Callithrix jacchus: one gene and its partners. The protein of the gene in region 1 binds, or shares a complex with, the protein of each later gene. Links are inferred from orthologs where the notes say so. Each region holds a gene or a part of one and is shown in the gene's direction. Other genes may lie near its edges.

Region 1 (5,469 bases):
CACTGGCCAGTTTTAAGTGTACAGTTCAGGCTTTAAGTGCATTCACAGTGCTGTATAACCATCACCACCATCCATGTCCAGAATTTTTCATCTTCTCAAACTAAAACTCTGCACCTATGAAATACTAACTCCCCATTCCTCCCCCAAACCCCCATTCACTGGCAACCACCATTTTACTTTCTGTCTCTATGAGTTTGATTATTCCAAGTACCTCATACAGTATTTGTCCTTTTTTTTTTTTTTTTTTTTTTTTTAAGACAGGGTCTCACTGTGTTGCCCAGACTGGAGTGCAGCAGCACAATCATGGCTCAGTTCAGCCTCAACTTCCTGGGCTCAAGCATCCTCCCACCTCAGCCTCCTGAGTAGCTGGGGCAAGAGGCACACATCCCCTACTTGGGATTTTTTTTCTTTTTTTTTTTTGAGATGGCACCCAGGCTGGAGGGCAATGGCATGATCTCAGCTCACTACAACCTCCCCCTCCTGGGTTCAAGCGATTCTCCTGCCTCAGCCTCCCGAGCAGCTGAGATTACAGGCGCCTGCCACCAAGCTGGGTTAATTTTTATATATTTCATAGAGACAGGGTTTCACCATGTTGACCAAGCTGGTCTTGAACTCCTGACCTCGGGTGATCCGCCTTGGCCTCCCAAAGTGTTGGGATTACAGGTGTGAGCCATCGCACCCGGGCCCAGCATTTGTCCTTTGGTGACTGCCTTAAACTTAGCATAATGTCCTCAAGGTTCATCTATGTTGCAGCACCCGTCGGAATTCCCTTCCTTTTTTTTTTTTTTTTTTTTTTTTGAGACGGAGTTTCGCTCTTGTTACCCAGGCTGGAGTGCAATGGCGCAATCTCGGCTCACCGCAACCTCCGCCTCCTGGGTTCAGGCAATTCTCCTGCCTCAGCCTCCTGAATTCCCTTCCTTTTTAAGGCTGTTTCTGCCTTTGGGCTGTTGTGAAGAATGCTGCTATCAACATGGGTGTGGGAATATCTGTTCAAGTCCCTGGCTGTATTTAAATTCTTTTGGATATTTAGCCAGAAGTGGAATTACTGGATCATCTCGTAATTCTATTTTTGATTTTTTGAGGAACCACTAATACTGTTTTTCACAGCAGCCGCAGCATTTTACACTCCCACCAGCAATGCACCAGGTTTCCATGAAATCACTAATTTTATAACTAACGTTTTTCCTGATTACAGACAGTACACGTTCACTGTAGAACATTTAGAAAATTCAAGAAAGAAAATTTAGAAAATTTAAATTCCCCTTATTCCACATACAGGAACATGACTTGAATTTTTATTATCCCCAACAAAGAGGAGAAAGGGTTTTTCTGGGACGATTGCGTTGCTATAGTGCCGAGGCCTGCCCTGCACGGATCTCATCCTCAAAGCCCCTCCGATCCCGGCGTCCCCGCGACCCCAAGCATCAGCCAAGTTCATGCAGTTGAACTGGCTTCTGAGTATATACGTGGATAATTCCCCGGAGGGCCGCAGACGCGACATGGGGTGGGTCTGGGTTGCTAGGGCAAAACATAAAATGTTTGAGGAAAGTGACTTGTCTAGAGAAGCACGTTCTGCAAACGCACCATCCACGTTCCAAACTGAGCATCGGTGTTTTGACCGAAGGGCACCTGAGGACATCAGTACAGTCCTGCAAAGGCCAGCACCCAGATCAGCAAGCAGAGAGCAGGAGAATTCCCCGCCCCATCTCACTTCTTTAAGTGCCTATTGGCTGATTTCACCATTAGTCCCCGCTGGCCTGCTATCACCGCCGCCGTTTGTGTCTCGGCCAGTACTCTCATTGGTCCTATCCGCAGTCGCTCTACGTAAGGGGCGTTCCAGAGTCAGCCACTGAGAGTCGCTGGATTCGGGTTTTAAAAAACGCGGGCGGTGAAGTGGGCGGAGCGAGCGATTTGAACGCGAGCGGCGCGGAACGTGGTTAAGCACCGGCTCCTCTAAGGCTCGCGGTCCAGGGCTCTCCGAGCCTACCCAGACGCCAGCCTTTTGTCCCTGGACCCGGCAGCCCAAGCAGGAGCCGTGGGGCCGGGCGCCAGCACTCTCCGCGGCGCGCCATGGGCCCGCGCCGCCGGAGCCGCAAGCCCGAGGCCCCGAGGAGGCGCAGCGCGAGCCCGACCCCCAGCCCCTCCCGGCGGGGCCCCTCCTTAGGTAACCGGCTGCGGCCCTGTCTCGTAGAGGAGAAAACCGAGGCTCGCAGGCGGAGCCCGGATCTCCCGAGTCCCGGTCGCGTGACCTTCCCCTGCTGGGGGACAACACGGTTCCGCTGTCCGGCATCCGCCCCGGGCACGAGCGGTGTCAGCCCTGCGAGGGACTGGAGCAGGCGGTTCGAAGCGGGAAGGGACCAGCTCCTAACGCCGCCTGCTTGTTAGGACTAGCGGTTACCCAGCGCCCACCGCCAACCAGGCATTGCGTCCCTACTGTTCGTGCGTTATCTCAGCTTCAGGTCGTACGCGTTTTATAGCTAATGAAAAAGCCGAGGCACAGACAGGCCAGGGAGCTTGAGCAGAGTCACATAACTTGTTCTGGCGGACACGGGATTTCCAATCCTCTGTGTCTGTGCTTTTTTAAAATTGCAAAAGTATTGACTGCTTTCAGTGACGATTTCAAACTGCAGTCCTCTTAGGAGGCGTCTTTCAGGTTTTTTTCCCTTCCGGGAGAGACTGTTTAGACCTTGAACCGAGGCCCTCTGCGATGCTCACTCTGTTACCTTCCAGAGCTTATGTCCGGCAAAGAGGGGCCGAAGTCTGTGTCTTCACTGTCTGTATGGTGGGCTGGTGGATGGGAAACAGGGGCAGGAGGACGCAGATGCCTGTATGGTACGCGTGGCAATAGCTGCTTTACTTATCTCTAAACTCTTGCTACATAGCCATGAACAAGATGGGGAAAGTGTATTGTAAATTTGTTTGTTTTTTTTAGAGACTGGGTCTCCCTGTGTTGTCCGGACTGGTGTCAAATAAGTGATCCTCCTGCCTGGGCCTTCCAAAGTGCTGGGATTACAGGCATGAGCCACTGCGCCTATAGGCTTTTTGTGTTTTTTGTGTTTTTTTGAGACCCATCGCCCAGGCTGGAGTGCTGTGATGCCATCAGGGCTCACTACAGCCTCAATTTCCCAGGCTCAGTGATTCTCCCACCTCAGCCTCCTGAGTAGCTGGGACTACTGGCATGTACCACCACGCCTGGCTAATTTTTTGTAGTTTTAGTAGAGATGGGGTTTTGCCATATTGCCTAGGCTAGAGTAGGTTTTTCTAGATGTTGCTGTCGTGAATGGGATGTTTTTTCTTTTCCAAAACATGAGTATTTAACCTTTGCATCCAGCCGACTTGCCGAATTCTCATGCATCCTAATAGTCTTTTAGTTGCTTCAGTTGGAATTTTTAAGTCGACTATATGTCACCTGCAGATAACTTTTGAGTCTTCCGTTTTCGTTTCTACACATTTTATTTCTTACTGTATGGTATTAGTAAGGCCCTGAGATTCGCCAAGAGCAGTGTTTTGGCCATCTTTGTCTCATTTGTAATTTTAACAGGAATATTAAGTGTGATGTTTGCTGTTCCTTTCCAAGGTAGAAACATCCTTCTATTCCTGGTTAAATGGAAGGTTTCTCTCAAATGGGCTCTCAACACTTCTTGGTAGTCCTACCTGCTTTGTCTGGTATTCTCTAATTTTAGAGACAGAGTCTCACTTTGTCATCCGGGCTGGAGTGCAGTGGTGCTATCTTGGCTAATTGCAGCCTTGACCTCTTGGGCTCATGTGATCCTCCGGCTTCAAAATGTTTTGACTCTACAAAAATATTGCCCAGCATGGTCTTGAACTCCTGGCCTAAAGTGGTTCTCCCGCCTTGGCCTTCCAGAATGATGGGATTACAAGAATGAGCCATCTTGCCTGGCCTTTGTCTGGAATTCTTGCTTTTTCATTCTCCCCATGACTATTTCTTTTATTTTCTTTTCTTTTCTTTTCTTTTTTTTGAGACGGAGTCTTGCTGTATCACCAGGCTGGAGTCAGTGGCATGATCTCGGCTCACTACAACCTCCGCCTCCTGGGTTCAAGTGATTCTCCTGCCTTAGCCTCCCAAGTAGCTGGGACTACAGGTGTGTGCCACCATGCCCAGCTAATATTTTATTTTTAGTAGAGCGGGGTTTCACCATATTGACCAGGATGGTCTTGATCTCTTGACCTCATGATCTGCCTGCCTCAGCCTCCCAAAGTGCTGGGATTATAGGTGTGAGCCACCACGCCTGGCCCTCATGACTATTTCATACCTTTTCCTCCCTCCATGACTTCCTACAGCTCCATTCCCCCCACTCACTCTTAGCTAATGATGGCCTTGACTAAGTTCCCCTTCCTATCAAAGCCACCCCTCCTTCTACATGGGCTCTTGGTCATATCCTTCTTTCACCTACAAGGAGCTTTCTGTTGTCCTTTCTACCTGTGCTTAGATAAATCCAGACACTTCACATTAGCATTGGCAAATGTGCTCTAGTATTTATGATGTTAAGAGAAAGTACAGGAGTGTTTCCTTGACCCCACATTCTCACCTCCCTATACCTCCCATTTCTCTCTACTCCCCCTTCATAGCCATCGTTTTAAAATAGCCAGACTTAGTTAGGTCTACATATGTTGTGTCTGATTCCTTCCATCCTAGTGACCCTACAACCTACTCCAATCTGACTCCCCACAACCACTACCCCTTGAACTACACCTGTCAGGGTCATCAGCACCTTTTGTATTGCCAAATCCAGTAGGCAGGTCTGTGTTCTTACTGTGTCCCGGAAGCATCTGACACAGTGGGCCTCTTTCTCCTTGAAGCGTGCTATTCCCTAAGCTTCCATGCCACTGTGGACTCTGGCAGTTCTGCTTATCCTTCTTCACTGCCTATGCTGCCTCCCTCCAGCTCCTTGACATTGGACTTCCTTGACATCCTTTTCCTTTCTACCCCCTCTCTAGATGATCTCATCTCCTTTGTGGCTCTAAATACCACTCCTACTTGACAGCTCTCAAGTTTACAAATACCTGGATCTCTCCTCTGACCCCAGATACCTATATCTAACTGCCTTTCTACCTGAATGCTCTTGGTTATGTTAAACTTAGCACACCCCAAACTGAACTTCTGGTTACTCTCCTCCAGCCCCTTCATCCTCAATTTCCCCATTTCAATAAATGGCACAATCACCCACCCAGTCGTTCAAACCATGAGCCTGGGAGACCCCCATCTTCAATACAGATGCAGGTTCAGATAATTCTACTTCCAAACTGCATCCTTAATCATTCCATTTTCACCATCTCTACTCCCACCAGCCTAGTCCAAGCCACCAGCATCTCCCAAGAGCAACTGTGAGAGCCTCCTAATCAGCGACTACTCCACTTCCTCTTGTCCCTTTCCAGTTCTTTCCTTACACAATAGCTGGAATGACCTTCGACATCTCTATCCTGCTAAAAACTCTTCCCTGGCTTCTC
Region 2 (5,469 bases), on another chromosome or scaffold:
AGCCCAGGCTGGAGAGCAGTGGTGAGATCTCAGCTCACTGCAACCTCCACCTCCCAGGTTCAGGTGATTCTCCTCCCTCAGCCTCCTAAGTAGCTGGGACTACAGGCCTGCACCACCATGCCTGGCTAATTTTGTACTTTTAGTAGAGATGCGTTTTTGCCACGTTGGCCAGGCTGGTCTCAAACTTCTGACCTCAGGTGATCTGCCCACCTCAGCCTCCCAAAGTGCTACGATTACAGGCGTGAGCCACTGCACCCAGCCAACACCAGGATATTATTATTATCATTATTTGAGATGGAGTTTTGCTCTTGTTGCCCAGGCTGGAGTGCAGTGGTGCGATCTTGGCTCACTGCAACCTTCACCTCCCCGGTTCAAACAGTTCTTCTGCCTCAGCCTCCTGAGTAGCTGGGTCTACAGGCGCCCGCCACCACGCCCAGCTAATTTTTGTATTTTTAGTAGAGATGGGGTTTTACCATATTGGCCAGGTTGGTCTGGAACTCCTGACCTCATGATCCGCCCACCTCGGCCTCCCAAAGTGCTGGGATTACAGGCGTGAGCCACCGCACGCTGCCAACACCAGGATGTCATATAAACTTAAGATGAATATTGTCCTTATAACAGCTCCATTTCTTGAGAACCCACTGCAGGTGCTGAGCTGAAGGCCCGACAAGCAATGCCCCACAAGTTTAACCCTCAGAATATCAGAAGTGGAGTAATGATTACATTGCTCAATTTCTTCTTCTGGCAGGAGACTGAAGCTCTGAGACGTTAACAGGGTCTACGTACCTGCAAGCTCCTGATTCCATCACTGCTGCCTCAGAGATAGCTCCAGAATTTCTGTGTATGGGAGGAGCCTAGGGATGGGCCACCCTTTTGGAATGGAAAGTTCATGGGCTTGCTCTGCTTATTTCTGGTGGGAATCCCATGGCACTGCCAAGAGTATTTCTTTTTATTTTATTTATTTTTGGGGGTTGGTATTACTTTGAGATGCTAATGGAGATGGGTGGATTTGAGGACCAATGGCTTTTCTTTCTCCTTTTACTCAAAACACGCACAACACTCTTTTTAGAAGTCCAGCCGGCAGCCTCCAAATGAATTTCGTTCGTGCTGAGGTCGGGGAGAGGGCGATGCTGTGGCTCTCTTCAGTCCCGGAGGTCCTTCCAGATTCTCCAAAGTTAAGTTAGTCAAGTTTTGAGCTGTAACCTGTGTTGGGCACAGTAGCTCACACCTGTAATCCCAGCACTCTGGGAGGCCAAGGTGGAAGCCTCGCTTGAGGTCAGGAGTTCAAGATCAACCTGGGCAACAGGGTGAGACCCCCCATCGCCAATTTTTTTCCTTCTTTTTTGAAGAAGTCAAGTTAGGCTGGGCACGGTGGCTCATGCCTGTAATCCCAGCACTTTGGAAGGTAGAGGCGGATGGATCACTTGAAGTTAGGAGTTCAAGACCAGCTTGCCCAACATGGTGAAACCCCATCTCTACCTCTACTAAAAATACAAAAATTACCTGTGTGTGGTAGCGCATGCCTGTAATCCCAGCTACTTGGGAGACTGAGGCAAGAGAATCGTTGGAACCTGGGAGGTGGAGGCTGCAGTGAGCCAAGATCACACCACTGCACTCCAGCCTAAAAAAAAAAAAGTTAAACTATTTTTAAAAAGAAGTTGGCTGGGCGCGGTGGCTCACGCCTGTAATCCCAGCACTTTGGGAGGCCGAGGTGGGCGGATCACAAAGTCAGGAGTTCGAAACCAGCCTGGCCAACATGGTGAAACCCCGTCTTTACTAAAAAAATACAAAACTTAGCGGGGCGCGGTGGCCAGTGCCTGTAGTCCCAGCTACTTGGGAAGCTGAGGCAGAATTGCTTGAACCCGGGAGGTGGAGGTTGCAGTGACCCGAGATCGCGCCACTGCACTCCAGCCTGGGTGACAGAGCAAGACTCCGTCTCACAAAAAAAAAAAAAAAAAAAATCGGAGTCCACGGGGCGTGGCGAGCCGAACGGGGGTGGGGACAGTCGTGGTCCCGCCCCCGGGAGACCAGAAGTGACGTAAGCGGACAAAGGCAGCGCGCGCCGCGAGCTGTCACTTCTGGTCGTGGTCTGCCGGAGCTGCGGTTGGCTTGTGGGTCTTCGCTGCAGCGGCCCTCCGTTCCTCTTCCCCATCCTCTTCTCTCGGTCCCGGGAGCCCCTGCCCGTAGTGAGTAGCGCAAGGCGATGCGAAGGGGAAGCAGCCGCCGGGAGCTGGGAGGCCGCGATCCCAACCGCTTCGGCGCCCCGAGGACCCCGGCTCGTCACGTGACCCGGCGCGAGCGCGCGGGCCGGCCCGGGCCCCACGTGCGCGTCCCCAAGAGGTCCACGGGCCGGACCTGGGCAGAGACTACGGAGCGGTACATGAGTCGGTACAGGAGGAAAGTCGAGGCACCCAAAGCCCTGGCAGGGCACTCCCCCACCCCGATCCCCAGACCGCAGCAAATCCCTTTCTCTGAGCCCGTTTCTCCTCCGAGAAACAGGGATTTGGAGAGCGCCCATTTGGAGGATGGGTGGGAGGAATCGGTAAAATGTCCAGTTCAGAGCCTGGCACAGTTAAGTGCCCGTTGCATAGAAGCTGCTGTCGTATTTAACCTTGGGGTCCTGCCCCGGCGCCAGCCTGACACAGGTGCAGCTCAAATGACAGCTGTCGCCAAGAGCCCTTGCGACCAAGGTCAGCCCGTCTGCAGAGGGGCTGCCATATCGAAAAGCCCAGGCTTTGCTGCCCACCAACTGTGTGATCTCTCCCTCCAGACTTTGCTTTTTCCTCTGTACTATAAGTGTTGCCACAGCTCGTGTCAGAGGCCTTGACAGCGGGGAGGAACAGTGGAACCGGTGGTTGTGGTGTGTAGAATGATTGCCAGTGAGATGGGATGAGCCTCTGGGAGGAATCAGGTCTGGGATAAGGAGCCTGGATTCCCTCCTTAATTCTGTTCTCGGCTTCCTGTTTGTATGTTTAAAGACACATCACTTCCTTTAGTGTGCTGGTTTTTCTCTCTGTAACATGGGGACTGTGGGGGATTGGAAGTATGCATGGAGTGTTTTGGTGGAGGCTGGAAGCCCTAGGATCACAAGGATAGCACCTGAAAAATCATTTGTGGGGGTTCTGTCCTTTCTGGCAGAGGAAGCTCACTCCCCCTCCTGCTGATTTGCAGGGCTGTTTGAGTATGCTGAATTGGCCACCCAGCATACCAGTAATAATCCCCTAGGGTGTCCAGCAGTACCGTTTCTATGGCATTCTAAAGCAGTTTTCACATTGGTTCCCCACAGTGGGCAGAGTTGACAAGAATCTCATTTGACAGAGATTTCTAAGCTCAAGAGAGAATATGTGCCTGGCACTGTGCAAAGCAGTTTCAGCTTTTCATATGTGCTTTTAATCACAGCCTTTCTGTGAAGTCCCATCTTACAGCTAACCTGAGGAATGGTGAGGTTTAACGTCTTATCTGAGCTTACACAGCCAGTGAGCAGAGCTGAGATTTAGATCTGGTTCATCTGACTCCATCAGAGGCTTTGCTGGTTTTTAAACATATCCCCTATTTTGTCTTCTTCCCTCCCTTTCTCCCTTTCTTTTTTCTCAGAGCACTCTGCCGTTGTGGCCGGCTGCTGTCCACAGAGATGCAGGGAGGATGGGCTCTGTCTGCTAGGCTGCGGGAGGGTGTAGGTAACTTTCAGGCAGGCTTTTCCTTGGAGATTTACATGAGGACGATGAGATGAGATGATCCGGGTGACAGTTTCAGCACCATTTTCTTCCATGGGTCCTGGGAGCAGAGATGCAGTAGCTGGACAGCTGCCTGGGTCTGAACACCTTGGCAGGGAGGAGGCGGCAGCAGCCAGGTGACAGTGAAGGATGTAGGATCACGTTTACTGGCTGAGCAGGCATCTACCAGGTGTGAGGGGTTTCTCTTCCTCTCTTAGCCAGCCTAGAGTGCACACCAAGCCAGGCTGTGCCCCTGGCCCCCTCCCAGGCCGCACAGCCACGTGGCCTCTCACTGTGCTGGAGTGTAGCAGGACCTCCTTCGGTGAGCCCACCGACCTTCTCTGTTCTCTCTGACTCTTAGGGAACTCCTCCTGCCCCACTCCAATCTGGACACCAGGAGGCAGAACGCAGCCAGGACCTCAGGAATTACATTTATTCATGAATCGGCTGTTAGGGCAGATGTCAAAGCCAGGCAAGCGATTTCCCGGCCTAGATGTGCCTCCCCTGGCTTGTTCCTAGAATTTTCGTGTCAGTGGCATTCTTGTAAATTTGATTATTCAGGGGACCTTGACATTTAAAGGAATCATGTTACAAGGCTTTTGGTAAAGCACAAAATTACATTGTCAGTAACAGCCTTCAGTATAACCAATGGTTGGACTTTTGTCTGTAGGATTTTCTTAGAAGTGAAAAGTGACTTTAGCTGCACAAAGCCCATTCTTTCATTATTCAGCAGCCAATGAGCAAATGCCCACCTGGTATCCGGCCCTGGGCTAATGGTGTACAAGGTAATGTCTCAGCCACCAGGAAGCTTGCATTCTGGGAGAGGAGGCAGAGTACAGCCTGGTAAGTGTTTGGCCCCAGATTTATTCTGTTCATCTGATCAGAAGTGAACTTTCTGTCGAATATCTGTGTTTCGCGGGAAGCAGGAGCAGCACGATGATAAATCTCAATGTTGCCACTGCTCTCTAGGAGCTCCCAGGCCAGGCGGGAGATAGGATTGAATACAAAACCTTCAGTTTGCCAGGACTGGCGGCGGGGGGAGGGAGATGGGGTTGCTGTGTCACCACACTCCAGTCTAAATGGGAATTGTGCTAGCATGGTGGGGACGAGTAGTATTACATTTTTTAATCTTTGTCTTTAATTTTCCCAGCCACCAAGCATTTTTGTTTTTTGAGACAGTGTCTCGCTCTGTTGTCCAGGCTGGACTCCTGGGCTCAAGCAGTCTTCCCACCTCAGCCTCCCAAAGTGCTCAGATTATAGGCATGAGCCACTGCACCCAGCTGGAGAGTAGTTTTGAATGCCGCCCTCTCTGGGTGACTGATGGAGGGCTGTGACATGGTTGCTACGGTGCCTACTGGCAGAGGGGCAGGCAGCCCACTTGACCTGGGTCTTTACCCCATCAGACCATAGCCGCGTAAGCAGCCACCAAACCCAGCTACATGGTGACATTTGGGTTGGTGGCCCTTTTTCCTGTTGGCCACCCAGGCACATCTAGCAGTCTTGAGGATAGGCAGTTCTGATGGAAACAAGAATTCATTCTTCTTTTTGTTTTGACACAATGTTTCACTCTTTCCCAAGCTGGAATGCGGAGGAACAATCATGGCTCACTGTAGCCTCTACCTCCCAGGCTCAAGTGATCCTCCCACCTCAGCCTCCCTAGCAGCTGGGAGGTACTGGAATGTGTGTGTTTTTGATAGAGACGGGGTTTCTAATCTGCGGGCTGCTTTCTCCTTCCAGCAGCGTTGTTCCCAGTGCT
Region 3 (5,381 bases), on another chromosome or scaffold:
TAAGGGAGGAAGAGATGGAAAGAAACAGGACTGGATAGGTTACCCTGTCCAATTTCCAGGACTCAAGAGCTCGGAATTATCTTCCAAGCCCAGGGTTTTCTTCCAACAGACTGAAATGGCACAAAATTCCTGTTCCCACCTGGATCAGTCACTGGCGCTGGGCCGCCCTGGGCAGCAGGACCTTGGGTGAGAGCTCTCTGCAACTGGATCATCCCGGAAGAGGCTGACAACTGACGGCCCCTGCCAACTGCCTTCCCAGCAGCTGTGGCATCTTGAGGGAAATCAGGCCAGCACATCTCTGTATCCAGCACAACGCAACACATTTTGTAGACACACACACTTCATGAGCCCCGAAGTTCTCATTCTCCTCCGACCCCCACCTAAATTTCTGCGGGACTTCGTGATAGAATTGCCGTGCAGGCTGAAAGGGGGTGAAGAGCCCCCTCTAACGGACCTCCTGGTGCTCTGCAATGCTAAATTATTTTCTTTTCTTTTCTTTTTTTTTTTTTTTTTTTTTGAGACGAGGTTCGCTCTTGTTACCCAGGCTGGAAGTGCCATGGCGCGATCTCGGCTCACCGCAACCTCCGCCTCCTGGGTTCTGGCAATTCTCCTGCCTCAGCCTCCTGAGTAGCTGGGATTACAGGCACACGCCACCATGCCCAGCTAATTTTTTGTATTTTTAGTAGAGACGGGGTTTCACCATGTTGACCAGGATGGTCTCGATCTCTTGACCTCGTGATTCACCCGCCTTGGCCTCCCAAAGCGCTGGGATTACAGGCTTGAGCCACCGCGCCCGGCTGCTAAATTATTTTCCATCACAGACTATAGTAATCAAGTCAGCCCAAGCACACAAACGTGGTTAAGTGATGAAGCTGAATAAAACTTTCCTAAGGTGTCAATCACAAATTCCATCAACCATACTAAAGACTGATTTATCTTGCTCTTCTTTCTGGAGAAAATATTACAAGATTAATATCAATGAAGAAGCAGAGTATGCAATCAGAAATACATAGGGGGGAAAGGTGGGTTAATAAAAGTATTTTCCTGGATTTTGTGATGTGTATCGCATTTGTCAGCGTCTTTAAATGTCTCATTCGTTGAGACTTATTTTCTTCTAGATGAATATTCACCATCCTACCTCCTTCCGGGTTGGTAATTTGGAGTAGGCCCCTGCCCTCGAAACCCCGCCGGGATCCCAGGCGGGAGGGTGAGGAAGATGGCCCCCGCCCGGCGGCGACCGCCACAGCAAGTCACGCAGACATCTCCAGGCCGAACATGAATCCCACCGGATCTCGCGTTGCACCGAGGATTAATAAGCTCAACAGCTGTGCGGGAAACCACAACCTGCCGCGCGGCGGGAGACCCTCCCCTCCTTTCCGCCCGACTGGCTCCTTGAGGCGTGGCTGGACGCTCGGGCGCGGATTGGCCGGGAGGAGCGACGCAAATTTGTTTGAAAGGCCCAATCAGCGCCCCGCTTCTCCGCGTTAGCCAATAGAAAACCAAGAGGAAGGCAGGAAGGGCGGAGTCGCCTATTTGAGTTGCGGCGCTCTAGGCCCCGGAGTCCGGGTCGGCGCTGAGGTCGGTGTTGGGTAGGCTCCCGGGTCAGCTGCTCGGTCCGCTGTGCTCCTTGGAGGACGAGGGCATGGAAGACGAGCCGCTGTTGCAGAAGCTCAGAGCCAGTCGCCGCCGCTTCCAGAGGCGCATGCAGCGGCTGTTAGAGAAGGTGGGGCCCCCGAGGGTCCGCCAGGAGGGGAGGCCCTCGGGGCGGACTGAGTCTAGGAGGGGACGCAGAACGGGAAGGGGAGGGGGCTTTGGGGGCTCGGAGTGGGGAAGCGGAGAGAAGAGGGAGGCGGAGCTGGGGGCTCTGGGAGGGAAGAAGGAGGCACTGCCGAAGGCTTCGGAGGGGGAGGAGAGGGCCTCCGGAGCCGGGAATGGGAAAGCGGGACTGGGGCTCGGGTGCAGAGAAAAGGGCTTGGTGGGGCTGGGGGATCTTGAGAGGGACGAGCGAGGCGGGGTTGGGGGCTCCGCTGTAGAGACTGTGTTTGGGGCGCCCCAGACCAGACTAACAGCCTCTCGCGGGCTGGCGCCGCCTCTGCCAGGGTCTGGGGCTCCTCGTGGCCCTGGGACCTGACAGGAAGCCCTTTTCTCCCTCGCAGTACGACCAGCCCTTCGAGGACGCCCCGGTGGTGCAAATGGCCACGCTGACCTACGAGACGCCCCAAGGTAAGGATCATCCTCCCCTTCTGAGTGTTCGGGTGAAGAGTGTGAATGGAGTAGTTGAAATCCTTTCCCTGCTCTATTATGAAGTAGACATTGTTCACTTAATAGGAACCAAAACATCGGTGCCCTTAAACCTGCGAATTAATTGAATTACTTATTAAAGCAATTCCTGAAAAGACAGGTGCCTGCCTCCTGGTTCACATGCCTCTGCCTTGCCGGGTTGGCATCCCCGCTGGCCACCTCCCCACCGTGGTAGCTTGGGCCAGTTGCTTAGCTGGACTGGTCTCAGTGTCCTCATCTGTGAAATGGGAAGGATGACGACAGTAACATCTCCTAGGTGTGGGTGTTGTGACAGTTACTCTGCAACTCTGGGAACAGGACACTCACATGACTTGTTTGCCCTGTTTAGCTTGGAGTAGCAACTGTCTTCCACGAAGCTCCAAGTACTTGAACAGGGAGAAGAAGGCAGTCCGTTAAATCAGACTGAAATCGTATGGGTTCTTTTTGGTAAATTAGCCGGTGACGCTTTGCACTGCCTGGGGTCAATTCTTCCCATATAGCTTTATAACTAGCTCATTACAACTTAATGAAAACAAACCTCAGAGCAAGTTCTATGTTGTAGTAAACAGGCACAAAAGGTTCACAAGATCTGCTCCTTGAATTAAAAGAAATCCTACCTTTCTGCCTTTATAGCCAATCCAGGCACACCTGGGGTGAAAAGTTTACACAGGCAGAAACTAAAATATTCCAGTGGCAGTTCTCTGTGTAACGTGTAAATTGCCCTTAGAAAGCATTCACTCTGTATATCGGATATAGAGATTGCCTGCAAAAAGTGCTAACTCTATATATGGTATGTAGATTGCCCTCTCTATATATTTTAGGGACAGTCATTGTCATATATATGTTCCTTGTTTACATTTGACTTTTTGGGCTAATGATATAATTTAATAAGCCACTGCCTAGTAGGTGGGAGATTTCCATGAATGACAAATTTGCCTTAACAACCTGAAACTTTACCAAGATGAACAACAGCAGGGTATCAGAAATGGCTTGGTTTTAATATTGTACCTTTTTATTCGCCTGTCACTGTGGCTTCAGGTGAATACAGACTGAGCAGAAATTCAGCATTCAGGATTATTTAAATGGTCGTTTTTCTTTCTTTTCTTCAGGATTGAGAATTTGGGGTGGAAGACTAATAAAGGAAAGAAATGAAGGAGAGATCCAGGTAGCAAACGTGAAATTTTATTGCCAAATAACCTTGCTGTGGAGGGGGCTTGATGTGGATACAGGTGTGGGTGTACCCAACCTTGGAGGCTATGGAGAGGCCACCAGGGAGCACTTTTTCTCATCTTGACTACACTCTTTCTGTTTTTAAGGATTTACTTAGAAGCGTTTTTGCTGTTGCTTGTCCAGTGCAAGGAGGCACTGTGTAATGTTTGGCCTTTTTTGTCACCCTGTGTTTCCTGTGTCACAGGCTGAGGGGCTCTGATAACACGCGTGCAGGGGCTGGGCCAGCCCCAGCTGGCCACGGTGCCATCCCAGCGAGGGGCTCACTCTGTTGAGACCTTACAGAAAAGACCAAATCCAGTTCCTTCTAGAGAAAAAAAAATGCCTCCCTTCCTCTTTTGAAAGCGGAGGAAGAGAGACAAGGGAGGTGCGGTGTGGAGGATCACACATCTTTCCCTCTGCGTTTTTCTACCTTCCAAAGACCTGAGTTTCCCCACCTAGTTGATCTGAAGGTGTTGCAGCTCTGAGACCCATTATTTTAGGGGAAGGTGCTGTTGGCACCTGCAGGGACACCCAGGAGCCCTTTTGCAAGGTTGTCTGGCATTCGATTAATCACTGCCTCTCAGATGCCACATGGTTCCTCCCTGTGGTCACAGGTCAAGGAACCTGTACCCAAGAATGAAAACATCAAGGTTAAGGTGACGTAATATTAACAACAAATTGGAAGTCAAATCTTCTTTATTAATTATTCTAGTGATAGAAATGTTAAAAGTACATCCAACTCCATAAATGAGCTGATTTATCTATGCAAAGATGGTCACTCGTGCTATTTTAGTACAATGTGATTTCCTATAACATTTTTATAAATGCATTTTTTTATCTCACTTTTCCAGTTAATATATATGGAGAACTCTTCATCAACTATTGTATAATTGTAAAATTATATAATTATTTTTTAAACTATGCTTTTTTAACTGATCTATTGATAGGCAATTCACTATTTGTGGCTTCCTTTATTATAAATAAGAGTTGGCACACTTTTTCCACAAAGGGCCAGATGGTACATATTTTAGGCTTTGCTGGCTATATGGTCTCTGTTATGACTACTCAGTTCTGTGTTGTAGGGGGATAGTGACCGAAAAAATATGTGAATGAGTATACATGGCTGTGTTCCAATAAAACTTTACTTATAAAGCCCCTGTTAGAAATGGTTCTCAGAGAAAATCCTGGTCCTTATCTTCTCCCAGTACTGATATGCACCATTTTCAGTAGATGCTGAGAAGTAGGATTAAAGGATATATGCTGTTTTAATTATACATAATAGAGATGTCCACTCATCATTTGAAGATTTATTTAGGTTTTTGCTTAAAATGTAGGAGGACCCCTACCTGGATCTTCAGAATCTTCAGACCCTTTCTTGGGATTAGGCGGAAACTGGGTGTAGTCTGAGATTCCAGCAGGAATATCTCTGACTTCACTGTAATTGCTGTTGGTGACAGTGCCCGGATCCGCCTTCACCTTTTCCCAGACAACTTGGTGTTCCTGCTGCCCTGGAGCCTGCGGGAGGCAGTGGGCCCTACCAGGCCAGGCACTGAGCTGTGCTAGTTTGATTATAGCACATGCTTGGGCTCTCCTTGTAGCTATCAGAGCTGCCAGGTGGTTTGGGGTTGGTGTAGATCATCTGCTTCTCTGTGATTCTCAAAGCAGGTTCTGCCTCAGACACAGCCACAAAACAACCCTGCAAACACTAGCTTACATGATGGTTTCACTGGAAGCAAAGGTTCTGATATTCTGGAAGTGGGCTTCAGTTACCCTGTATTACTCATGGGTAACCCCAAGTCCCCTGAACCCTCAGAGTTGACACCTGAAGACCATCTCTAATGGTATAGGCCTCACCACCTTCTCACTACCCTGTTCTTATAAGGCTGGGTGGT

Evidence for each region. Proteins that work in one complex are often made in the same cells at the same time.
Region 2: the proteins of CENPA (region 1) and NTMT1 are in contact, whole or in part, in a crystal structure (PDB 5CVD), measured with the Homo sapiens proteins. The link is inferred for Callithrix jacchus from reciprocal best matches to the Homo sapiens genes CENPA and NTMT1. Residues at the interface, in NP_001800.1 of Homo sapiens: Gly2, Pro3, Arg4, Arg5, Arg6, Ser7; in NP_001273725.1 of Homo sapiens: Tyr19, Trp20, Met30, Leu31, Gly32, Tyr34, Ile37, Trp136, Asn168, Ile175, Asp177, Asp180, Asp212, Glu213, Ile214, Tyr215.
Region 3: the proteins of CENPA (region 1) and HJURP are in contact, whole or in part, in a crystal structure (PDB 3R45), measured with the Homo sapiens proteins. The link is inferred for Callithrix jacchus from reciprocal best matches to the Homo sapiens genes CENPA and HJURP. Residues at the interface, in NP_001800.1 of Homo sapiens: Lys64, Leu65, Ser68, Arg69, Arg72, Asp83, Phe84, Asn85, Trp86, Gln87, Ala88, Gln89, Leu91, Leu92, Ala93, Glu96, Ala97, Ala100, Phe101, His104, Glu107, Asp108, Leu111, Leu112, Leu114, His115, Ile132, Glu136; in NP_060880.3 of Homo sapiens: Glu14, Asp15, Leu18, Lys21, Leu22, Ser25, Arg26, Arg28, Phe29, Arg32, Met33, Leu36, Lys39, Tyr40, Pro43, Phe44, Thr47, Pro48, Val49, Val50, Gln51, Met52, Ala53, Thr54, Leu55, Ile65, Trp66, Gly67.

Annotation. Positions count from the first base shown.
Region 1 is NC_133515.1:88,211,365-88,216,833, reverse strand, and holds the start of CENPA (histone H3-like centromeric protein A), read left to right. Parts: upstream 1-1,899; 5' UTR 1,900-2,070; coding exon 2,071-2,164; intron 2,165-5,469. UniProt on the Homo sapiens protein: Histone H3-like nucleosomal protein that is specifically found in centromeric nucleosomes. Replaces conventional H3 in the nucleosome core of centromeric chromatin that serves as an assembly site for the inner kinetochore.
Region 2 is NC_133502.1:178,212,143-178,217,611, forward strand, and holds the start of NTMT1 (N-terminal Xaa-Pro-Lys N-methyltransferase 1), read left to right. Parts: upstream 1-2,074; 5' UTR 2,075-4,556; intron 4,557-5,469. UniProt on the Homo sapiens protein: Distributive alpha-N-methyltransferase that methylates the N-terminus of target proteins containing the N-terminal motif [Ala/Gly/Pro/Ser]-Pro-Lys when the initiator Met is cleaved.
Region 3 is NC_133507.1:155,107,850-155,113,230, reverse strand, and holds the start of HJURP (Holliday junction recognition protein), read left to right. Parts: upstream 1-1,564; 5' UTR 1,565-1,642; coding exon 1,643-1,723; intron 1,724-2,156; coding exon 2,157-2,223; intron 2,224-3,389; coding exon 3,390-3,445; intron 3,446-5,381. UniProt on the Homo sapiens protein: Centromeric protein that plays a central role in the incorporation and maintenance of histone H3-like variant CENPA at centromeres.